Linked DNA regions of Alligator mississippiensis. The protein of the gene in region 3 purifies or fractionates together with the protein of the main gene of each other region. This does not show direct contact. Links are inferred from orthologs where the notes say so. Each region holds a gene or a part of one and is shown on either strand. Other genes may lie near its edges.

What was found.
Region 1: the proteins of TRAF3IP2 (region 3) and IKBKB purify together in Homo sapiens (affinity purification with western blotting; 3 studies listed by BioGRID, with this or other methods). This does not show direct contact. The link is inferred for Alligator mississippiensis from reciprocal best matches to the Homo sapiens genes TRAF3IP2 and IKBKB.
Region 2: the proteins of TRAF3IP2 (region 3) and CD40 purify together in Homo sapiens (affinity purification with western blotting, with the first as the bait; 3 studies listed by BioGRID). This does not show direct contact. The link is inferred for Alligator mississippiensis from reciprocal best matches to the Homo sapiens genes TRAF3IP2 and CD40.

Annotation. Positions count from the first base shown.
Region 1 is NC_081830.1:17,229,644-17,237,188, forward strand, and holds the start of IKBKB (inhibitor of nuclear factor kappa-B kinase subunit beta), read right to left. Parts: upstream 3,056-7,545; 5' UTR 2,896-3,055; coding exon 2,791-2,895; intron 2,404-2,790; coding exon 2,309-2,403; intron 2,165-2,308; coding exon 2,047-2,164; intron 1,357-2,046; coding exon 1,287-1,356; intron 1-1,286.
Region 2 is NC_081832.1:490,667-497,851, reverse strand, and holds the start of CD40 (tumor necrosis factor receptor superfamily member 5), read left to right. Parts: upstream 1-4,094; 5' UTR 4,095-4,289; coding exon 4,290-4,346; intron 4,347-5,937; coding exon 5,938-6,019; intron 6,020-6,255; coding exon 6,256-6,384; intron 6,385-6,525; coding exon 6,526-6,672; intron 6,673-6,985; coding exon 6,986-7,079; intron 7,080-7,185.
Region 3 is NC_081824.1:97,061,390-97,068,479, forward strand, and holds the start of TRAF3IP2 (E3 ubiquitin ligase TRAF3IP2), read right to left. Parts: upstream 3,020-7,090; 5' UTR 2,829-3,019; intron 1-2,828. UniProt on the Homo sapiens protein: E3 ubiquitin ligase that catalyzes 'Lys-63'-linked polyubiquitination of target protein, enhancing protein-protein interaction and cell signaling. Transfers ubiquitin from E2 ubiquitin-conjugating enzyme UBE2V1-UBE2N to substrate protein.

The DNA.
Region 1 (7,545 bases), on a different chromosome or scaffold from region 3:
GCAGGAGTAGGGGTTCACATTGTCTACTTAAGACTTCAGGAAGGCCTTCGATAAGGTATCTCCCCCCATACTGGTGAACAAATTAAGAGGCTGTGACTTGGATGATTACACAGTCCGGTGGGTGGCAAACTGGCTAGAGGGTTGTACCCAGAGAGCAGCGGTGGACGGGTCGGTATCGACCTGGAAGGACGTGGGCAGTGGGGTCCCACAGGGCTCGGTCCTTGGACCGATACTCTTCAATGTCTTCATCAGCAACTTGGACAAGGGAGTGAAGTGTACTCTGTCCAAGTCTGCGGATGTCACAAAACTGTGGGGAGAAGCGGACACACCGGAGGGCAGGGAACAACTACAAGCAGACCTGGACAGGTTGGACAAATGGGCAGAAAACAACAAAATGCAATTTAACAAGGAGAAATGCAAAATGCTGCACCTAGAAAGGAAAAATGTCCAGCACACCTACTGCCTAGGAAATGACCTGCTCGGTAGCACGGAAGAAGCAGAAAGGGATCTCAGAGTCCTAGCGGACTCCAAGATGAACGTGAGTCGTCAGTGTGACGAAGTCATCAGCAAAGCTAACTGCACTTTATCGTGCATCAGCAGATGCATGACAAACAGAACCAAGGAGGTGATACTTCCCCTCTATCGGGCACTGGTTAGACCACAGTCGGAGTACCGCGTCCAGGTTTGGGCGCCGCGCTTCGAGAGGGATGTGGATCACCTGGAGAGGGTCCAGAGAAGGGCCACTCATATGGTTAAGGGCTTGCAGGACAAGCCCTATGAAGAGAGACTGGGACACCTGGACCTCTTCAGGCTCCACAAGACAAGGTTGAGAGGCGACCTGTGGCTGCCCATCCATTCATCCTGGGGGCACAGAAGGGCATCAGTGAGGCTCTGCTCACCAAGATGCCCCTGGGGGGGTTACAAGAAATAATGGCCACAAGCTAGCAGAGAGCAGATTTAGACTGGACATTAGGAGGAACTTCTTCACAGTTCGAGTGGCCAAAATCTGGAACAGGCTCCCAAGGGAGGTGGTGCTCTCCCCTACCCTGGGGGTCTTCAAGAGGAGGTTAGATAGGCATCTGCCTGGGGTCATCTGAACCCAGCACTCTTTCCTGCCTATGCCAGGGGTCGGAGTCGATGATCTATTGAGGTCCCTTCCGACCCTAACATCTATGAATGGGAACATCCAGGGTCACAGCTCTACTTCCCTCAGGTGGAGAGGGCTAGCAGGACAGAAATGCCTGCCTTCCCACACAGGGATTGTCACAGGCCACGTGGCCCCTTACCAATGTCTGAGAGCAGCGTCAGGATGGCTTCCTCCCGCAGGCCGCAGCAGTTCTCCAGCTGGTTCAGGTACTGGAGGGAGCAAGGCAACATATCACAAATCTGCCGCACCCAGCCTACACATGCTACTTGCAAGCAGGAGCTTCTGTAGGGTCGGGACCTTTGCAGAATGATCAACTCAGACGTGCTCCAGACCTACCCTTTCCCTTCTCTGCCAGCTCCTCCAGCCAGCAACCCCTCCAGGGCCCATCCCCATATCTGAACACACTTGGCCCAACCAGCTCAGGACAAGGTCCCCTAATCATGGCCCTATCCTCTGAGCAAAATCTGTGCTGGGGCTGCTCACAAAGATTAAAAAAAAAAATTAAAAAAAAGATTGATCCAGCCCTATGTGTTTTTCCGCCCTGTGACCGAGAGGGGTTTATCAGTTCCCCACAGGACCCCACCCACTGGCACAACCTGCTCCATGACGTTCTAGGCCCTGCTCACATCCTGTTGTCTGTCTCTTGCACACGCCCGTGTGGGCACCCCGCAGGCTGACCCACACTGCCTACCCAGTAGAAATGGGAAGTGTTTACAGACCAAGGAAGGGGATGAGAACTCGTGCAGGACCAAGCCTGCCAAGGGCAGGGGAGGTGGCAGCAGGCACAGTCCTGGTGAGTGCAGGAAGACATGATGGCAACAGTGCATGAAAACTCAAGGGAAGCCTTTCATTTCTGCAGTGCTCGATGGCTATCCCGCCCATCCAGCCAGGGGCCCCACCTTGCGGAGGTCTCCCCCCTGGCAGTACTCCATGGCCAGAGGCGGAAGGTCATTCAGTGCCAGATTTTGCATCCCCTTGGGGACCTCACGGGCAGCAACCACGTTGGCGTGATTCAGCCTAGGGGAGGACAAGAGGGTAGAAGTGTGTGATGGCAGGAACCGACTCACCACAGGTTGCTCCTAGACAGGGTGCACGTGCAAACGCCTGAGCAATAGCAGCTGCACAGCGGAGGCAGGTGCACCCTGGGACAAGGACCCTGACCTTTTCATGATCTGTATCTCCAGGCACCACCGCTCCCGGTTGCGCGGGCTCAGCTCCTGGCGGCATTGCTTGATGGCGATCTGCTCCCCCGTGTCCTGGGCGGCACAAAGCAAACGCGCGCAACAACAACGGGTGAGCGCCACGGCCGTGCCAGGGCCAGCCGCCGAGCCCGCCCGGGCCATTCGAGCGACACGGCTCGGCAAGCGGCGCTCGCACGGGCCCGGCGCCGCGCGGCGAAGGTTACCAACTCTCCAATCTATCGTGGGAGGTTTCCAGCGTGCCCGCGACACGACGCTTGCGCGCATCGGTTACAGGTCGCGGCGCGCCGACTTTATGCCAGGAAGGCAATCGCACGCAGCCGCTACTTTTTAGGACGCTCCTGGACTACCACGCGAATCGGACCCCGTGTTTAATGAACGCGCTGACATTTGTGATGCTGGGAGCCCCCGGGGGGGATACCCAGGTCCTGAGGGTTGGCGCACCTTGTTCTGCCAGCGGATGACGTTGCCGAAGCCGCCCGTGCCCAGCCGCTCCTTCATCTCCCACGAGCCGCACGTCTGCGTCTGCAGCGATGGCGGCCGGCTCATGCTGCCGCTGCCGGGACAGGGCGGCCCAGCCAGGCCGGCTCAGCGGGGGCCGCACTCGCGCCGCGGACACGCGTGGGCGGGACGGGCAGGAGGGGGGGGGGGGCCGCGGTCTGCGGGGTCGGATTCGCTTCGCGCGCCGCTTCCGCACTGTGCCTGGCTCTGACGTCACGGCGGGGCCCGGCCACGCAGGCGCCGTAGCGCGGGGAAGGAAGGCGCGCTCGGCTCTCGAGCGCCCCCTGCGGGCCGGAGGTCGCGCTGCGCCCACGTGTCCTGCAGGGAGCGGCGCTGGTCCGGGGGAAGCAGCTGCGGGCAGGGCAGGGCAGGGGCGGTGGGTTGACGACAGCGCAGGCCCTGCTGCACCCAGGGACCCCGGAGCCACACAGCCCACTGGGTGGGGTGCCATGCAGGGTGGGGTGCCAAGGCAGGATGCGGTGGCATGCAGGATGCAGCGTGGCACAGGGTGTGGTGCCAGCTCGCCCCAGGAGCCCGCTGGCCCCAGGCAGCTAGTGACATGAGCTGCCTGCGGCACAGCAGGAGCCGGACAGGGCAGGCCACGGGCAGCGTTATGCTCCTGCAGGCCTGCCCTGCCTGGGCATCCTTCCAACCCCCAGGGCTACAGCACAGGGCCTGGGTCTCGCTGGCGCTCAGAGGGCGGCAGGTCCTGCCCGGCAGCCACCCAGCACCTGCTCCTGGACTTCGTCTACCCCCGCTTCCCCCTCCCGCCACCCATCCCTGCCACTTCTCACTGAACCTAGCCCCGGAGACTGGTTACCTGGGGGCCATCCGGGGCCTCATTCCACAGGGGTGACCTAGGAGGCCTGGGAGCCGCAGCCCTGAGTCACAGTTTCTTTTCCTCCAGCTAGCTCCGTCACTTGTTTGTCTTGTTCACACCCTGCAGCAAGAAAAAGGGGAAGTGGAGAGTGGAGGCACTTAGAGCTTCTCAAATGAGCTTTCACAGGGACAAAGAGCCCACCTCACTTGGGCCACCAGCGGAGGCTAAGCTCCCGCTCCTGTGAAGGCCAGTGCCCCTCCACTGTCTTCTGGCCAGGTGAGCTCCACCTGAAGCCAGGCAGATAGCTAGGGCCAGGGTCTGCCACACCTGCATAGCACCTCAGTCATGCCAGCTGAGGAATTCCCCCTTGATGAGCAAATCGGATGTGATGTGTCCATTCATTTGAGGACCCAGAGGAATGCAAAAGGGGGTGGCTGATTATGAAATTAGGAAAGGTTCGGGTATAGTAATGGGTAGCATAGGCAATGCTGACTTACATCACTGGGTTACTGGAAGGATTAGCTATTGTCAAACGTTTCCAAAAGAAGTTTCTACTACTACCAACTACTGGTCTGGAGGGGGGTCCAGCACAGATGGCACCAGCTGCCAATTACTGGGGTCATATTGGTAACATGTCCAGGCATGACTGCCAAGAAAGCAGCATCTCTGCGGTGGTAGGATCCGAACCTCGGAGCAGAGGGTAGCCTCAAGTTCAAGGAGGCTGGTCAACAAGGGGAAGTGGCTGCTGTACTCGCATGGGAGCTCAGGGACTAATGACATCCACAGATGCCGGCGCCCACCAGCTGAGCATCTTCAGTGCTCTGGGACAAAGGATGCTCACAAGCGCTCCAAGTACACCAGTACACCAAGCAGGGCAGGCCCCTCTTGACCCATTTCTTCTATGGTCAGAGATTATACACAGGAGATGACCTGCCATAGGATGTGAAATCAAGGGCTAAGAAGGGTCAGGTGGAAAAGGAATGTCAGAGAGGACTCAGGGTTCACTTTGAGAAAGGAAAGAGCCACATTTCATGTTGGACAGAGAGGGATACTGCTGGAAGGTGGTAGCAAGAAGAGGCCTGAAGCACTTCTGTGAGAAGTTGCTTCTTTTCTCAGAGGAGATAGGGCCAGCGAGGGGTTTGAGAGGAGGGTGGAGAGCAAGTGGTGGCTGGCGCAAACTGCAGAGTGCATGGAAATTATACTCCTCAGTCTGCCCAAGGGAAAGGAAATCAGGAGGGAGGGAGATCCAGGAGGCTTATAGCTAGCAGCCTATAAAGAGGCAGGGCCCCTGCTTACAGCCAGTGAAGAAAACAGGACCTTTGCTCAGTGGAGGAGTCCAGTTTCTCCCCGTCACAGGAAAGAGTGAATCCAGCTAGCATCACTGCTTTTCCAGGTGCCAACAAGTGCCAGGCACCTAGTTGGCAGCACGTAGGAGGAACTGTAACTGCAGCTGGGCAAGGTATGGGAGAAAAGAGTACTTTCCTGGGGGTGAGAGTCACAGAGGATCGTTTTTGGAGGGAGGGTCCCATCTATGTGCTAAGCGAACATGTCATGTACAGTGGCACTTCCTCTGACGTCCATTGGACTGTAAACTCCAGAAGGAGCACAATGTTTGCTTATACTTGTTAACAAACAGTGATCTGGCATGATCTCCATCCAAAGCATCTTTAAATTGCAACCTGATACCATCCTCCCCGCCCCAAAACACAAAGGGCTCCACTGTAACAGAGACAGCCTCCAGGCCTGGCACAGGAGATGTGGGGCACCTGTGCATACTGACTGGGTGCCCAGGACCCCATGGGATCATTACTTCTCCTTTGCTCCAGAGTCAAACTGCCAGTTCCCACAGCAAGAGCAATCTGGCTCTCTGCACGGACGCATGACACGAGGGGTCTCTTCACGCACATGGAGCTGGGCAGCAGGCCCCGCTGGCCGAGGAGATGCATTCCACACGGAGCAACATACGGGAAACGTGCAAATATGCGGAGACACAGGTGCAGAGGGAGGCATAGAGGGAGTTTATCAGAAAGGAGATATGTAGGCAAGCTAAACAAGCAAAAAAACAAAGATTACTGCTGCAGAGAAACACTGGAGCCAAACCTTCCCTGAGATGCAGGCACAAAACCTGCATCTGCTTTCTGCCAGGGCTCCTCGCAGGACATGGCTTGTCAGAACACGTAACACAATACCAACCACAGGCACTGTCTTCCTACCCAGAGCAGACCCTCAGCTAGGCCCCTAGCGCCGCACGGGTACACCCTGTGCTCAGCTTGGGATGCAATGTTTGGAATACGCCCTCACCATTTTCCTTGCAGCCTTCAGGAAAATGCCAAGCAACCCAGGCCAGCTCCACTCTCTTGAAGCATGAAAAGGTCAGCTCTAAATGGGCAGCGACTGCTCGGAAACGAGCTGCCCAAAACCGCGACAACCGTAACTCATTGCCAGCTGGTCCTCACAGGTCATAGTGAACCTCAAAAGCCGGTCTCTGTGTCTCACAATGGAGGTCACTGGCTGGTCCCTGCCCATCACTGTAGGGTACTGCTAAGACAAAGAGGTTCACTGAAGCTGCTTTTGCCCTACCCCATGCAAGGCAGCAATGGCACTTCCGTTTCTGTGATGTTGTAATCCTGCCCTTGGCTCTGTGGGGCAGCTCTGCTGTTCAGGGGCTGCCTCAGTTATTTCTACTTCAAAATCCTGCTTTGTCTAATTATTAAATGTACTTTCTCACAAGGGACTGAACAGCTGGGCTTGCCTAGACTAGTCTCTCCATGGTGGCTGCTGTCAACATGCCAGAGTTCCCCTGTGACCAGTACTGCAGGGATGTGGGTAAATGACAGAGTTGGTCACACATTTACAGTGAGGCTCCGAACCTCTTGGATAGGGGGGGGGACAGAAATTTAATGAGTAAGTAATTACAAAGAAGGAAAAGAGGAATTAGCCAAAGCACCAGACCCAGACAATGTGCATTTATGCCACGGATGCCCTTCCTCTCATCCAGTCATTGTCTTGTTCCCATGGTGGTTCAGAAAAGCTCCCTGTGCTCGACTCCCCACGCTCAGAGACTCCCTGTTCCCTCAGCCCCAGGGAACGGCCTGTGCTGGGCAGCAGGTAGCTAAAGGGCAAGACAGAGTACAATAAATAGCTGATGAGCTGCATCACCGAAAGAAGGATTCAGCTAAGTGTGCAGTGAAAACCCCCACAAATGTGACACAACGGGCATGGAGAGAAACCAGCTGCTGCCTGCCCAGCCCCCAGCTGCAGTCCAGCAAAGGATTCAGCTCCTGGTCGGCTGGGATTCCCCTGCGTGGCCCTCCCCAGATTCTGGATTAACCGTTGGAAGTTAATTGCTCTTGTTTCTAAAATCCAGATCCCAACCAAACAAGTCAGAACGTGTCTGTGTACAAAGACAAAACTGCTCCCTGCATCTGTGTCCTGTAGACAGAGAAGATTAAACATTCCACATCGCTTCAGGGAACCAACTGCTCCAGGGGTATTCGGGCCAGGCAAGAGCTCAGCTGGGGCAGGAACTGGCAAGCCAATGGGAAAGGAAAGCTGCTGCCCCCTGCCCCGCCCCAGCACATCACAGAACAATTGTGTGAAGCTCCCACTAATCCCAAGTCAGAGATCATGGAGCGGGGCAATAGAGGGAGGGAAAACAAAGGGACAGGAATTCAGAGCCAGCACAGCCTAAATGGAGTATCCAGGAAGCGTCCCAGGCTGCAGCCTGGCAACACTGTAATGCTGTTCCCAGGGGAGAGGGATGTGTTAATGATTCAAAGCCTCCCCGCTACCCCGAGAACTATTTGCTGAGCAGTGCAAGCTTGACCAGGCTGAGGTCTGCTAGAGAGACTGCAAAGAGGACTTCCAACAGCACACAG
Region 2 (7,185 bases), on a different chromosome or scaffold from region 3:
CCGCCCCTCACACCAGCCCGCCCCCCCGCCCGCCGCCGGCGGCACCACGGCCCCGCCCCGCCCCGCCCCGGGGACGGGCTCCGGCGGCCCCGCGCGGGGACCAGCGCCCCTGCAGGCTCCGGCGGCGGCCGCCACGTCCGGCTCCTCGCCCCCCGCCGCCGCCGCCGCGCGGAGGAGACGGGCCGGGCCGCTGCCCACCGGGGCCCGCTCCGCGCAGCGCGGACGAGCAGGGAGTGCCCCCCCCGCGAGACGTCCCGACACGACCCCCACGACGCGGCCGCACAGCGCACACCCCGCGGCCCGGACACCCTGTCACGGGAGCCCCGCGGCGGGCGGGCGGGCGCGGCCCGGCCCGGCAGAGGCGGCGGGAGGCCGAGAAAGGGCAACACTGCGCGGACGCGGTTCTTTGTCAGGCTTTTATTGGCGAAGGACTCGCGGGGCCCGCGCCCCCCCGGCCCCGCCCCGCCCCGCCCCGCCGCGGCCGCACTTACCGCCGGGCCCGGAGCCGCCGCCGCCGCGAGGACAAAGGCGCCAACCGCCCCCACAGCCGCTGCCGGAAAGCGAGACGGGACGGGGCAGGGGGCGGGGCCGCGACAGTGCCGCGCTTTACGGCACGGCCCGGTCACGTGGCCCGCCCGCCATGACGCACGCCGGGCGGCCGCGACAAAATGGCAGGCGCGCTCCGGCTCCCGGCGGCCCGTGCGGCAGCGGCCCCGCCCCGGGGCATGCTGGGGCATGTAGTCCCCAGGGGCTGCTGCGGGCCGCTCCCAAGCACCCCCTTTCCCCCACCGGGCCACGGCCACGGCCCGCCACTGTCCCGCGAGCTGCACCCCCGCGCCACGCCTGCGCTGCCTCCCCGCCTGGGAGGCTAGTCTGTAGCCTCCCCACGCGAAGGAGAGCGGCCCGTGGCGTGGAGGGCTGGGCCCGCGACTCCGAAGGTGGACAGACAGAGCACCCCTGCCAGCCTGGTAACCCGGGCCTGGGCCACGGCCACCCCGCCACGAGTGCCCCCGCCAGCCTTTGTGTCCTTGCTCCTAGTCCTGCCCCCTGCGGCCCCAGAGAAGAGCCGTCTCCATCCTGTCACAGCCCTTCAGGGCCTGGAAAACTGATCAAATCCCTGCTCCAGATTCAGCCCCAGCTCCTTGCCACTCCTGCCTCCGCCATGTTCTTGCTCTGCACTGGACTGTCCGTGGCAGACGTCCCCGTGGGGGGCAGCTGTGCCCTCTCCACCCCGCGGCAGGGCAACAGCGGCCGCGGGCACAGCACGGGGGAGTTCCCCTCCCTGCTCTGTGGCTCGCGTGGGCCCTGCCTGCAAACGCCCAAGTTCACGTCCGTGGCGGCTGCGCCCCGCGATGGCCACTGGGTGGCACCACGAGACCCCGCTCCCAGCCGCGCGGCTCCGGTGCGGGGGGCGCAGGCGAGACAACTCTCGGGCTCCCGGGGCTGGGCGCAGGCACTGCGCGGCTGCACTTTGCACAGCGCCTCCCGCATCCCCTGACTCCGGGAGCCGAGGCTTTTGCCGCTGGCCACGTGGTGCCAGCGACAGCCAAGGGGCCCGCTGCGTCGGTGCCCTGGCACGGACGGCCCTGATGCCAGCCCCGGCACTGCTCTGCCAGGAAGGGGCTGGAGCGGGCGGTTACGTCGACGCAGCGGGGGGCTGCTGGTGCTGGCGGGCTGGAAACAGCCCCCACAAGGGCCCTCGGGCGCCGGGCGGCCGTGGGAGCCGAGGGCCGGCCGGCCGGCAGAGGCTGCCTGGGCAGCCGAGCCGCAGGGCGGTGCGGGATTTCCCAGGCCCTGGTGCGAGCCCAGGCCCGGAAAGCCCCTCCCTCCCGCTCTGGTCTGGAGACACCCCTGGGACCTCTGCTTGGCACTTGAGACGCTGTTCTGGGAAGTGACGCGGCCCGCAGCCGGCAGAGCCTCCCTTCCCCTCCTGCCTCGCTCCAGCTGCGCCTGGCAGGGGCTGGGGCCAGGCACCACGGCGGGGGAGGGCACCACGCCGCCCTGCCACAGGCCCCGGCAGAGGGACGGCGCCGAGGGGAGCGCGGCTCACCCTCACACAGCCACCGGGCCGCGGGGCCAGGGACACGGGCACTGCTGGGCACTGCCCCGCGGGCGCACTGCAGCCACGTGAAAGGCATGGGGCCATTGCGCTGATGCCCCGGGCAGGGACAGCCCCGTCGCATCCTGTCTGCTGGCCGCATGGGTGTCTGTGGGCAGTCTGTGGCCGGAGGAGGGAGGGGGTGGGTGGCGAGGCTGCTGCCCTCCTGCTGGGCCTGCCGTCCGCGCGTGGGTGGCTGGGCAGAGTGCAGCTGGGGACCGACCCTCGCCCCCCAAGCACGGATGCGGGGCAAGAGCGGAGCGGAAAGGGTCCCCCCAGCCTGACAGGCCCTGGCACCGCGTAGGGTCCCACGGGCAGGCAGGCGCAGCACTTTGCCCCTTCCTGCCTGGCGTTTGCACTCTCAGGAGAAGCTGGAAAGTTGCAGAGGGAAGTAGGAGCGGGTTGGGAAAGCCTCCTCGTCAGCGGTGCGTGGAACTCCCCCGGGGCTGCCCGGTCCCCGGCCCCGGGGAATCCTCTGCTCCAGGCCCTGTGGACGCCCCGTCCTGGCTCTCTGTGCCCAGGGTCCTGGAGGCAGGAACAGCCCTGCGGGGGCTCTTGATGACGCAGCCCCTTTGACGGCCTGAGAATGCCCAGCCCCTGGTCCCAGCGTCACCCATGTCGCAGCAGTCCCCAGACAGAAGCTGAACTGAAACCCAGCACTTCTGCTTCCAGGATGACTGGCTAGAAAAGCCCGAGAACTGCCCCCACCATCCCCAGTGGCAGCTCTGGCCAACCTCCACTGGCAGCAAGGGGTGTCCAGAGGAGGCCACCCGCACGATCCGGGGGCAGCAGGGCAGGCCCTACGAGGAGAGGTGACGGGACCTGAACCTGTTCAGCCTCCACAAGAGAAGGCTGAGGGGGGACCTGGTGACTGTCTATGAACTCACTAGGGGGGACCAGAAGGGTTTGGGGGAGACCCTGTTTCTCCGAGCGCCCCCCAGGATAACAAGGAGTAACGGCCACAAGTCGTGGGAGAGTAGGTTCAGATTAGACATCTGTAGGAACTACTTCAGTCAGGGCGGCTAGGATCTGGAACCGACTTCCACGGGAAGTGGTGTTGGCTCCTACCTGGGGGTCTTTAAGAAGCGGCTCGATGCCTACCTGCCTGGGGTCACTTGAGCCCGGTTTCTCTCCTGCCCAGGCAGGGGTCGGACCTGAAGATCTACAAGGTCCCGCCCGACCCGACTTCTATGAGTCTATGATGCTATGACACCTCAGGGCTGCTCGTGCCCCCGTGCGGACCCCTGCTTGCTATGCGAGGGCGCCCGCCTGCCACCAGATCGGGCAGACACGGCCGGACACGGGCATGTGGGGCTGCCAGGAGCCCAGGGGAGCCACAGGCTCTGGTGAGGGCAGGGGATCATCCCCGGGCTCTGGACAGCTCTAGGGGCAAAATGGGGGGCAGAAGGATCTGTGGGACAGTGCCACGAGGCCCTGCTCACATGGGCAAGCACGTCGTGGCCTTGCCACGCCCCGGCTTGCAGCCAGGCCAGTGCCTGCCCCTCCGGGGCGCCTGTTCCTGAACCGCCCTGCCCTGGCAAGGAGAAACTCCCATGCTGAGCACGCGCCGGCACCCAGCTCAGGACACAGCGCAGGCCAAGCCGGCCCCGCGGAGCGCGGGACCGCTGGGGCCGGGCAGCTGCCTGCAGGGCAGGCGGGAGGAGGAGGCCACGGGGGCCACAGCAGCTATAGGAGGCCATGCCCCGTGGCTCCCGGCCAGGCCTGCCTGGCACACGGAGCTGTCCTGCCGGACTTCCCTGTGCCAGGAGACCGGGGAGACAGGAGGAGCAGGCCTGTGTCCACGAGCCCCGCAGCCGGGCGCTCGGCACAGCAGAGCACGCACTGGGGTGGCAGCACCCAACGCAGCCCGACGTGCCTGGGCTGCACCCGGGACCGGCTCAGGGATGCTGCGGCGCGTCCCCCCGCATGGGTGCTGCGGCTGCCAGCCTGCCGAGGCCTGTTCTCACCCCACCTCGCTGGCCGGGGGCCAAGGGAAATCCTGGCTGGGCTGCGTGGCCCAGCCCTGGCTGAAGCAGACGGGGAGTTTTTCTGCGGGGGCTGGGCCCCCCCTGCCCTGCCCTGCCCTGCAGCGCGGATTGGATCTGGACAGCCCCAGCCCTTTCCTGGGCGGCCACGGGACTGCAAGTACAAGAGGTAGCCGCCCCGCCGGCGCAGGAGTGTCCCTCGCAGCATGGAGCCCTGCTGTCTGCTCGGCCTCCTCTGGCTACTCTGCCGAGGCCTCTTGGGCGTGAGTTTCACTTTCTCTTCCCTCCCCAGGTGCGACCCACGAGCCAGACCCGGCTGCCAGGCTGCTGCCGGGCTCCACGCACCCCCCGGCCGCCGGTGCAGGGGCTGGAGCGGGCCAGGGAGGCCTTCGAGCCGCTTGGCAGCCTCTGCTAGGACCCCCAGCTCAGCCCTGGCCCATCGGGGCGCAGCGGGGAGGGGGGACCTTGGCGCCTGCCTGGGCAGGGGTGTTGGCGCAGAGGCCGCGGCGAATGGGCGGGGGGAGAGCCGGCGCTGGCTGGGCACTGCCTGGTGTTCGGCTGGACCGGGGAGCCCCGTTCCCAGGGGCCGTGCCTCGGGGACAGCCGTACCTCGATGCCTGTGGGGCAGAGACGGGCTCAGGGCATGCGGGGCAGCTGGGCAGGCCCCCAGGATCCCTTTGCAACCTGGAGGCCCATGGGTGCCAGTGAGGCGTTGGGGGGCCGTGGCCATCCCAGGTCCTCTGCCCTGCACCGGCGAGGGCACCGATTTGTCTCATTCAATTCCCGTGGGCCAGGGAAGGCGCCTGGCCCAGCTTTGGCGACACGGGGGCCCCTGCCTGGGCAGCGGAGCGTGCCGGTGCCGGTGCCGGTGCCCTGCTCGGAGCTTGGGAATCCCTCGATTTCCCAGCACGGCCAGACCCCAGCACGGCTGCCTCTCGCTCCCAGGCCGAAGCAGGCTGCAGGGGACAGGGCTCAGCCGTGCTGCCGCAGAGCCTGGCTGGGCACGGGCACGGGCACGGGCACGGGCTGCGTGCGGGGCAGGAGCGTGGAGAAGGGGCAGGCTGCGGGGGCTGAAGGGACACGGGCTGGGGTGGAGGGGTGGAAGCAGACAGGGCTGCGCGTAGGCGGCGGGGGATCCCAGGCAAGCGGAGGCGTCTCTCGGTTCCCCTTTCGGAGGCATTGACCGTGACCCAGGGTCCCATCCTGCCCGGGGCCCCATCAGGCAGTTCCCTCCCTGAGGGCAGAGCCCCAGCCCCACAGAACCGCCCATGGACCCCGGCTAGGGCACACGCCGCCCCGGACCCTGGTGCCTGGCAGGGCTGAGCCCCAGGGCAGGGGCAGCTGCAGGGGCATCTGCTGCACCGCCGGCCCAGGAGGGTTGTTTGCTTGCCGACAACCCCTGCTGTACTGCTGGGGGAGCCTGGCCCAGCTTCACCCCAGGGAAGGGGCACCCCAGGTCCGCCTGCCAGGCGGGGGCCCAGCACTGCCGCCAGGGGAGGAGGCTGAGCCCTGAGCCACCACCTGGGCTCCCAGCCCTGCCCCTGCCCTGGCTGCCTGCTCAGGCGGGGCAGACACGCGTGGGCCCTGCCTTCGCCAGCTGCTAGGAGATGTGGTCAGGGCACTGACATGTGCCCGCCGCAGCAGAACCGCTGGCATCCCACTTCAGGGAGGCGCGGGCGGCGCGGGGGCGGCAGAGCTCCGGTCCCAGTGGTTGTGGTTATGTGGGCAGGGTGAGAGCGAGCGCAGGGTGCACGGCCCGTGCCAGGCGGCACCGTCCAGGGGAGGGGAGCCAGGTCTGGGGCAGGTGGGAGCCAGGCCTGCGGTGGCTGAGCTCTGTGCTCTGCTCGGTTCCAGCACTCGGCCGCTGGGACGGACATCCGATGCAGTGAGAGGCAGTACGTGCACGAGGGCAGGTGCTGCAACCGCTGCGCCCCAGGTACAGAGCAGATCCCTTCCCTGCCCCTCCCTGCGCCAGAGCCTCGGCCCAGAGGGGACCAGCTCGGCTACCTTGGCCCCAGGGCCAGGACCTGGGCTCGGTGCTGCCTGCAGAGCTGGCCGGTCTCGCCCCCTGTGCCCAGTGGCACCTCCTTGGGTGCTGGGGGCACGGCAGGTGCTGGGCTCCATGGGCAGCTGCACCAGGCAGGAAGCAAACGCGGGTGCTGTGTGTTGCAGGAGAGAAGGTGACGGCTGCATGCAGCGAGGCGTTGGAATGGTCCACCTGTGCCCCCTGCGAGGTGGGGTCCTTCCAGGCCCACTGGACCAAGGAGAATCACTGCATGCCCCACAGATACTGCGACCCCAGTAGGTGCCGGCACAGGGCTGTCTGCCAGGCAGGCAGCAGTCACGCAGCCCTGCCCATGCTCCAGCAGCCCCTGCCACAGGAGGGGCCTGGCCATGGCTGGCTCCGTGGCCCACCTTTCCCTCCCTCCCTTCCTTTGGCAGATGTTGGCCTGGTGGTAAAGACGCCGGGGAGTGAGAAACAGGATGTCACATGTGGCTGCCAGGTGGGCATGCACTGCACCAGCGCCCAGTGCCAGACCTGCAAGCTGAACCCCCGCTGCAAGCCAGGCTTCGGGGTTGTGCCAAGAGGTGAGTGCGGCCTGGCACTTGCAACCCGAGAGGTCACAGGGCCATGCTGCCCTGCACAACCCTGGCTCCCCACCGCCAGGTCACAGCAGCCCCAGCAGGGGCAGGCGAACAGGCCATCGGCTCCGAAGCACAGAGCGGGTGCAGGGACCTCCCAGGGGGTGCAGCCGGCCCTGCTCAGGCAGGCATGCATGCTGCACCTGCTCTGGGGGAGCCTGGCAGACAGGTTGGGGTGTCCTCGTTCGTGCCCCACACCTTCTCCTGCCCCCCCGCCTGCCTGACGCTCACCCCTGCGGTCGTCTCGGCTCTGTTCCAGCCCAGGAGGATGCGCCCCCCACGTGCCAGCCCTGCCCGGACGGCAGCTTCTCCAATGTCACCTCTGACAGCAAGCCATGCCAGCCCTGGAGCAGGTACTGCAGGGTGGGGGTGCGGCGCTGGGAGGTCAGCCAGGGAGGGGAGCGGTGGCTGTGAGTGAGGGAGCCCGGAGACACTTGCCGGCAGGGACACGCCTGGCAA
Region 3 (7,090 bases):
TTTTAATGTAATTTTTTCTTGGCTTATCAAAAGATTGCCTTTTATGAGATGCTTTGAAATGGAAGGTCTTCTCAGTATACTGGACAGCCCCTCTCCTCGGCTTTGCCTATGCAGTATTGAGGTACTGCACCAAGTTAAAAAGCAAAGGCATTCTGTGTTGAGTCATAATCTCTTGGTGCTCTCTAGCCACTAAGGAAAGAGCTCACATTACTACCCAACAATCCTGGATAAAATAAGGGGGGCAACGGCTCTCCTTACTCTATGTCTCTGGAAGCATCTACACAAAAAGTTTTACTGTGCATTAGACTAACCTAATGTGCAATAAAGCATCACCATCTACACGTACATGGGACTTACTGTGCATTGTATTAGTCCAATGCACCGTTTGCTAGTACCAACATATACAGGTACTAGATAAGTGGTGCATTAGCTAATGTGCCATAGGACACACATAGGCGTTGACCAGGAGCAACTTGCTCTTGGTCAGCCCAGAGAGCCAGGAGCCTGCACCTGCCTGGCTAAGCCTCAATGCGGGGAGGAGCTGTGCCAGCTCCAGGGACAGTTGTCTCCCTGCCACATGAGGATTGGGACCTATCCAATCTCCATGTGGCCGGGAAAGCTGTGCTGGTTGCAGGGACAGCTGTCTCCCTGCCACCTGGGGATCGGGATCAATAATATGCAGAAAATTCAGGTGCACTAATTGCACATATAGACGTGCCTTCTGTCCCTTAAAGTTGCTGCCCTGCCTCTCTTGAGGAAGTAGTCATGGAGCTGTCCCTGTGCTCTCCCGAGTATTAGGGCCTGGAATTCTGCCTGGTCCTTATGCTTTACTGATGAGGTAGCAACAAGACACTTCTGAAACAAAGGAAGACCAAAGTACAAGTAAGAAATCACAATTGCACTTGTAACTTAGGGGTATTTGGTGCATCATCTTCACACTTGGCGGATCCAGTCTCTTTTGGCTCCAGACTAAATAGTTAGGCCAGATCAATTTTCTGCACCAAAACGACAAGGCTACTAAAACAGAGTTGTATAGTGAAAGCTGGTTTCTAGCTTCCCATAAGAACACAGAAAAACCTGGGTCACTGAATCCAGTCCCTTGCTGTGGCAAGCAATTACATCATATAATCCTTTTTATAACTGTACCTAAAGATGCCACATGATCAAGCTCAACTAGGCAGATACTGCCACGTGTCCTTAACACAGTACTAGTACTCTCAGTCGCTCTCTGCACCTAGTCGTCATGGGTAGATAAAAAGAAAAACAGAAAAGTTCTTTCCAAGCCTGAGCCCCTCACAAGTGCTTGTATTATCTAAGGCACAGCTGTGACATTGTACTATTGTGCTCTAAGCTGTTATGACAATCTGACAGTGAGGAGTGGCCAGTTCGGTGTTCTCAGACATACCCTCTGTAGTCATTGGTTGCAACCAACTGCCTTGAACACCAGTTTGCAGAAACCAAATACGTTCCCAAAGTCAAATGCATAAAGCAGTGCTATGGATAATATCCGCTAGGCTGCATGTTTAACAATGTGCTGGACAAACATAAAGGGATGACAGGAAGAACTCAGGTTTGCCAACTTCTCTCCCTGCCCCAATTGCTTTGTTTGAGCAAAGGGAGACAGGAAAGTGTTTTGTCATTTCCTTCCATCTGGGCCCCTGTGTCCTGTATACCTATATGCCAGCAAATTCTTCTGCTATAAGCCTGACGAATCACAGTGAAAAAGTACTTCTGCCAGGGAAGCCTATGCTGGTTCCCTCCATGAAATAAGTTATACAAATAAAAGCATTTTTGTGGGTATAACTGTTTACACTGGGACTTGTATCACCATAGCTCTGTTGGTAATAATAATAATAATAATAAAAAAAAATAATAATTCCCCTAACTGACTTACCTCTGCTAATATAAATTTTAAGCATAGACCAGTCTTAAATCTAAGCAGGGGCTTGATTTTTCAGTACTTGGATTCCTGCATGTTAAGAGCTGTGGCTGGTAGGATAGAGTCAGTTCTCACTAGTCAGCAGGAGATAGTGAGGAGTTACAAAACTGGGTCTGCTGAAAAGGAAGTTAATGAGACAGGCGAGGCCTGTCACTCCCTCCTCCTTGTCCTCCTCCTCTTGGACTCTTTACATGTTGGATTTTTTTTTAACAATAACAGATCACTTACAATTTCTCTGTCCTAAACATCCAGTAGGACTGTATTACCTAGGAGACTATTTCTTCATCATTTTCCATAATGATTCCTTCTCTCTGGGTGACTCCTAGATTATCAGACACAACCCCTCATCACGGAGGAGGTTGTGTGCAGTAAGTGTGGGCCTACGAAGGAAGCTGTATAAAATCATGCTTCCCCAGCTGGGCCACAATGCTGCTGGAAGCTCCTGGGACACAGAGCTACTATGCCTCTCTTCTGAGACAGGATCTCTGGCTGACCACAAAGTATGGCAGGGCACAAAGTGCAGAGGTGAAGGGGTCCTTGTAACCTGCCCTCCTGCCTATACACCTGTGGAGCGCCCTGCCAGGTTCAGGCCTCGGCTGCATGATTTTCAGGTGGCCATACAATACCTAGGATCACATCTAAGCACTGTTTGCTGGAGTGTTGTCCGTTCCCAGCATTTACTCAAAATAATCCTGCTATCCAGCTGCAAAGTAGCTATAACAGTGTAACCAAAATAGCTAAAACTTGTCCAGTTGCTATGGGAGAAAAAATAGGTAGAGCTGGAGGAAGTTAGAAGCCAGAAAGAAAAACAAGAGGCACAAAGTGGGTCAGTAGTGAATAACAAGCAAGGGAGGGGAGAGGGAGGAGCAGTATCTCTAGAAGAGCTTACCTCGGGGCCAGAAAGGGCTGGATCTGGATTGACCAGGGAGGAGAGGGAGACACTAGGGCTGTCTCCCCCACACTCTTCTCCTCTCCCTCTCTCTATTTTTCTCCTGGCTGTCTTTTCCCTCTTTTACGACACTCTCCCTCTCCCAGGTAAGCAGTAGAACAGGCTCTGCAGCAGGAAGTGAACCATGTATGCAAATTACAAAGCAGACGTGGAAAGCCTCAGCCTGAAAATCTCCCTGTGGGGGAGTGAATCAGTAACAGAGGAAAGCCAGTTTGAAGTTAAAAAAACTCCCCTCAAAATGTCATTCCCCTAGGAAGCCGGGCTGCTTTCTTTTAAACTAAACAGCTAAGGAAGAGTAGGGAAAATCCAGTCTGATTTCTAAGTACACTGTGCAAGATTGGAAAAGGCATCTCTCATTTTTGTTTTATTTTGTTAAAAGAGACACTGTCACCCTTAGCATATCAGGATTGAGACCACCCAGAAACTTCCAAGGTTAACTCAACAATTCCTTGATTTTAAATATGTTTTTGTTTTGTTTTTGTTTTCTGGTATTCTGTCTTTAGGGCACACTCAACGTTTGCGTGTGCTTGCCCCTGCAAAGCTAACAGTTTGAAACTTATTTTTGGTATGAAATGAGAACGGACAGTTTCATGCATTCACATGCATCTAGCTGCTGGGACTTGAGTAAAACACCAAGTATCATAGGAGCTGGCGACACTGTGATAGACTTTTTTAGAGACACTGAATCATCCCAGTTGTCTTTCTGCCAAGGCAGCATTGGTTTCCACAATACATTCTGTAATGCTCTCTCCAGCTGTGTCCTAGGAAAAGCAGCTGCCACAGCTCCCAAGTCCAGAGGATCTCATAATCAGAAAGTCTTTCCTTATGTTTAACCTACACTTTCCTTTCTTATTTCACCCTATCATCCATCCTTATGCTCCTGGGTACAACATTAAGTCACTTCTCAGATCTGTTTTACCCTGTGAATCTTTGCAAGCTGCCATCACATTCCCCTTTAATTGTTACTTAGCCAAGCTATGCAGATGTAGCTATTTAAATCATCCCTCAGAAGTCAATTCCTCCAGCTGCGTGATTGTTTGTACTACTCTTTTCTGAACTCCCTCCCATTGTAACAACATGTTGGTAAAGAGCCTGCCACTGAATGCTGAGTTTAACTGGGACTTCAGCATGTGAATTTGGTTACACCTGGAAGAGCCCATGACCTCTCAGCTTCCTGATAGTCTGGCGTATTTGCTCCCCATAGACTTTAAAATGAAGCAAAGTTTACAGGCACCATCAGTGCTTTTAGTAAGCATTACCTACTGCCATTTGATAACACCTCTAATTTCAGCTGGGTCTCACAGACCTGTCCAGTTGCAAACCTATGCCTACTTTTATTACCCTCTGTCACCTATAAGTCTCATTCAGCACGGCTGCTTTCCAAGTTTCTAACCTAAGCTACAAAAGTATGGGGATAGTTGACAGCTATAACCCAAAATACTTATTCCAATAAACTGACAGTACTTTGAGCTACTGCCCTAAAGTATTGTAGTCCAGTGGTTCCCAGCGTATAGGCTGAGACCTCACTAGGGTCATGCCACTTAAAGGCTGGGGCCTGGCAGATATTCATTTGGAGGGTTGGGATCAGACCAGAATTGACCTCACAAGCTGACTGGAAATAAGGGTGTGAGCTGGAAGCCGGGTCATGACAGAAGAAAAAGCCCGGAAACTGCTGTAGTTCTTTCCTTCCACTTTTGAGAAGCGCCCATTCCAACTCTCATTTACTAGCTTGTGAGGACTCTTTCTGCAGCCTATTATATCATACCACTGTCAGAAAAGGCTCCTGCAGAGCATCTTGAAACACTCCTGTCACTCCCTCCTCCTTCTCTTGGACTGAACACGTTGCTCTCTTGAGCTGCTTGCATCAGTGCTATGAATGAGAGAGACTTCCACTTCCCCGGGGGTATTGCAGAACAGTATTATTGGCTTACTGGAACAAAGTGTGACTGGCTGACTGTTCCCCTCTCACATTAGCATCAGTGCTGTGGCTTTCTGTGCCCACAGCAAACTAGAAAACATGTGCCCCTCAGTGCCCATGATTCCTAAACATTTTGCTGCCCTAGGCGACCACCTGTTCTGGCAGTGGGGTCTTGCCAGGCCTGGATGCGACTGCATTCCTACCAATTAATGTGGCACTAGCAGTGCAGCTATAAATGGGGCCTTTTAATCAGTTTAAGTTTAAAGCCATCTGGTCGTGGCCCAAATGTGTTGTTTTGCCACATGCACATTTTTCACAATTACAACCCTTGGTCTGACAGCTGCGAGCAGCAGGGCTGTAGCTGTGTCGTTTTGTGGGAAGGCTGGGCTTATTCTGAGAATCATCTCACACGGGTATTTTACAAGGTACGTGTATGACAAAGGCAGCTGCAGTGAGGTAAAGGCTTGGTTTTGCAGCTGGCTTGCTGGAACAGTCACTGCATGCAACACACAGACACTGGGTAGATTCAGGATCTGGAGTTCTTGGCTGAACACTTCCTGGTAGTGACTCATTCTGGGAAGTTCGGGGAAATACCATATTTACTCATATATACAGCCAAGCCATTTATTGCTAGAATTGCAAGGCAAACCTTCGGAGATTGGCTTATACACTGATCAATTAAAGACAGCGAGGAGTAAGGAGTTCTTTGGAGGAATCCTAAGCTACTTCCTATCCAGGGGAGACCCTTCTTGAGCTTTCTTAGTTGGGGTGCAGAGGGAAGGTAAAAATACTGTCAGTTCACATGCAGGACATGCATTTTGTTAGCACTGAGTGGGACTGACTTTTGGGGGGTGGGGTTTAGTCAGTATATAAGGTAGAGCTAACTGTGACTTACATGTGCATCATCATCATCTAACTGGTGCAATGAACTGTGAAGGAGACCAAAGCATGTTTATCAATCATTCATGCAGCACATTAAACAGTGCTCTGTCTCAAGGGCAAGAATTGAAGTTAGTTATGCTCATGCAGACATTAAGAGCACTTTCTGTGTCCAGACTCTCCACCTAGTCTCTCCCAACCCAAAACCTAGACTGATAGAACAGCAAATTTCAGCTGGCGACACCTAACAGTACTAGCAATCCTCCTAGCGTGTCTGAATCTGAAACATAAATAACCTGAGCTTCCTGATCCCAAGAACTACAGGCTTTCAGTGCCGAAAGGGTCTGAGGTCTGGAACTGTTTTAGCAAACCTGGCATTTAAAGCTCTCAGATGACAGCCGGCAGCTGAAATGTACAGGGGAGGCTTCTCTCCATGAGCTGACAGCTGCCTGCTGGCTACCCGCAGCCTTTCTGACCCTGCATGTGGGGAAATGGCAGGCAGCAGATGAAAATGACTCTCAGCTTCTGATGGCCGATTCATGGTTTCCCATGTTCTTATGGAAATGGACATAGATTGGCAGAAGACAAGGTAAATGTGTACAGACGCCTACCCAAGCTTTTAAAGCACAGTTTAGGAAGCAAGCACTCTTAAGTAGCAAGTGACCTGCTTTTCTGAGGCATCTGACTACTAAAAATAGCATTATTGCTTCTATGCAAACACTGTAATTTAGGGTGCATGTACTGGTTCACATTTGAATTAGAATGGTCCAGTGTGGCCCCGCCATCACGTGTATTAAGCCCCCGCAGGTTTAAAAATTGTTGCTCGGGCACTTTACCTAAACCTCATCGAACAAGGTTTAGATAAAGTGACCTGTGGCCTTTTTTACACTTGCAGGGGCTTAATACATGTGACAATGAGGTGTTTTAATTAGAGCAGCTTTCTGGGACCTGCTCTAATTAACGCCCCCTTCCCCATTGAGCATGTGGTGAATAGGCAGCCTCTGTGCCTAATACTGCAAACACTTACTATGGGGCAAAATATATAGCCCACTGAAGTCAATGAGAGTCCTGGAGGAAGTACATACTCACTATACCTAAATGGCCATGCACAGAGGATTGGGCCCAAGGTCATGGATATACTTACTGTGTGCAGTCCTTTCATTAGTAACAACTAATTTAAACCAGTCTACATATGATCTGAACTTACTGATAAGCAAGCAGTGAACAAAGAAGTCTGCACTTTAATGCCAATCTCCACTTGTTGCCCACTGATCCCTGAGGATTTGTGCTACTTAAACACAGGCCAAAAGATCAGGGTTTGTCCTATAGTAAAAATAAAACAGAACTCAGATGTCTTCCATTTGAGGGTTGCAGAGAGCATCACAAGAATGAATGAATGAGGACT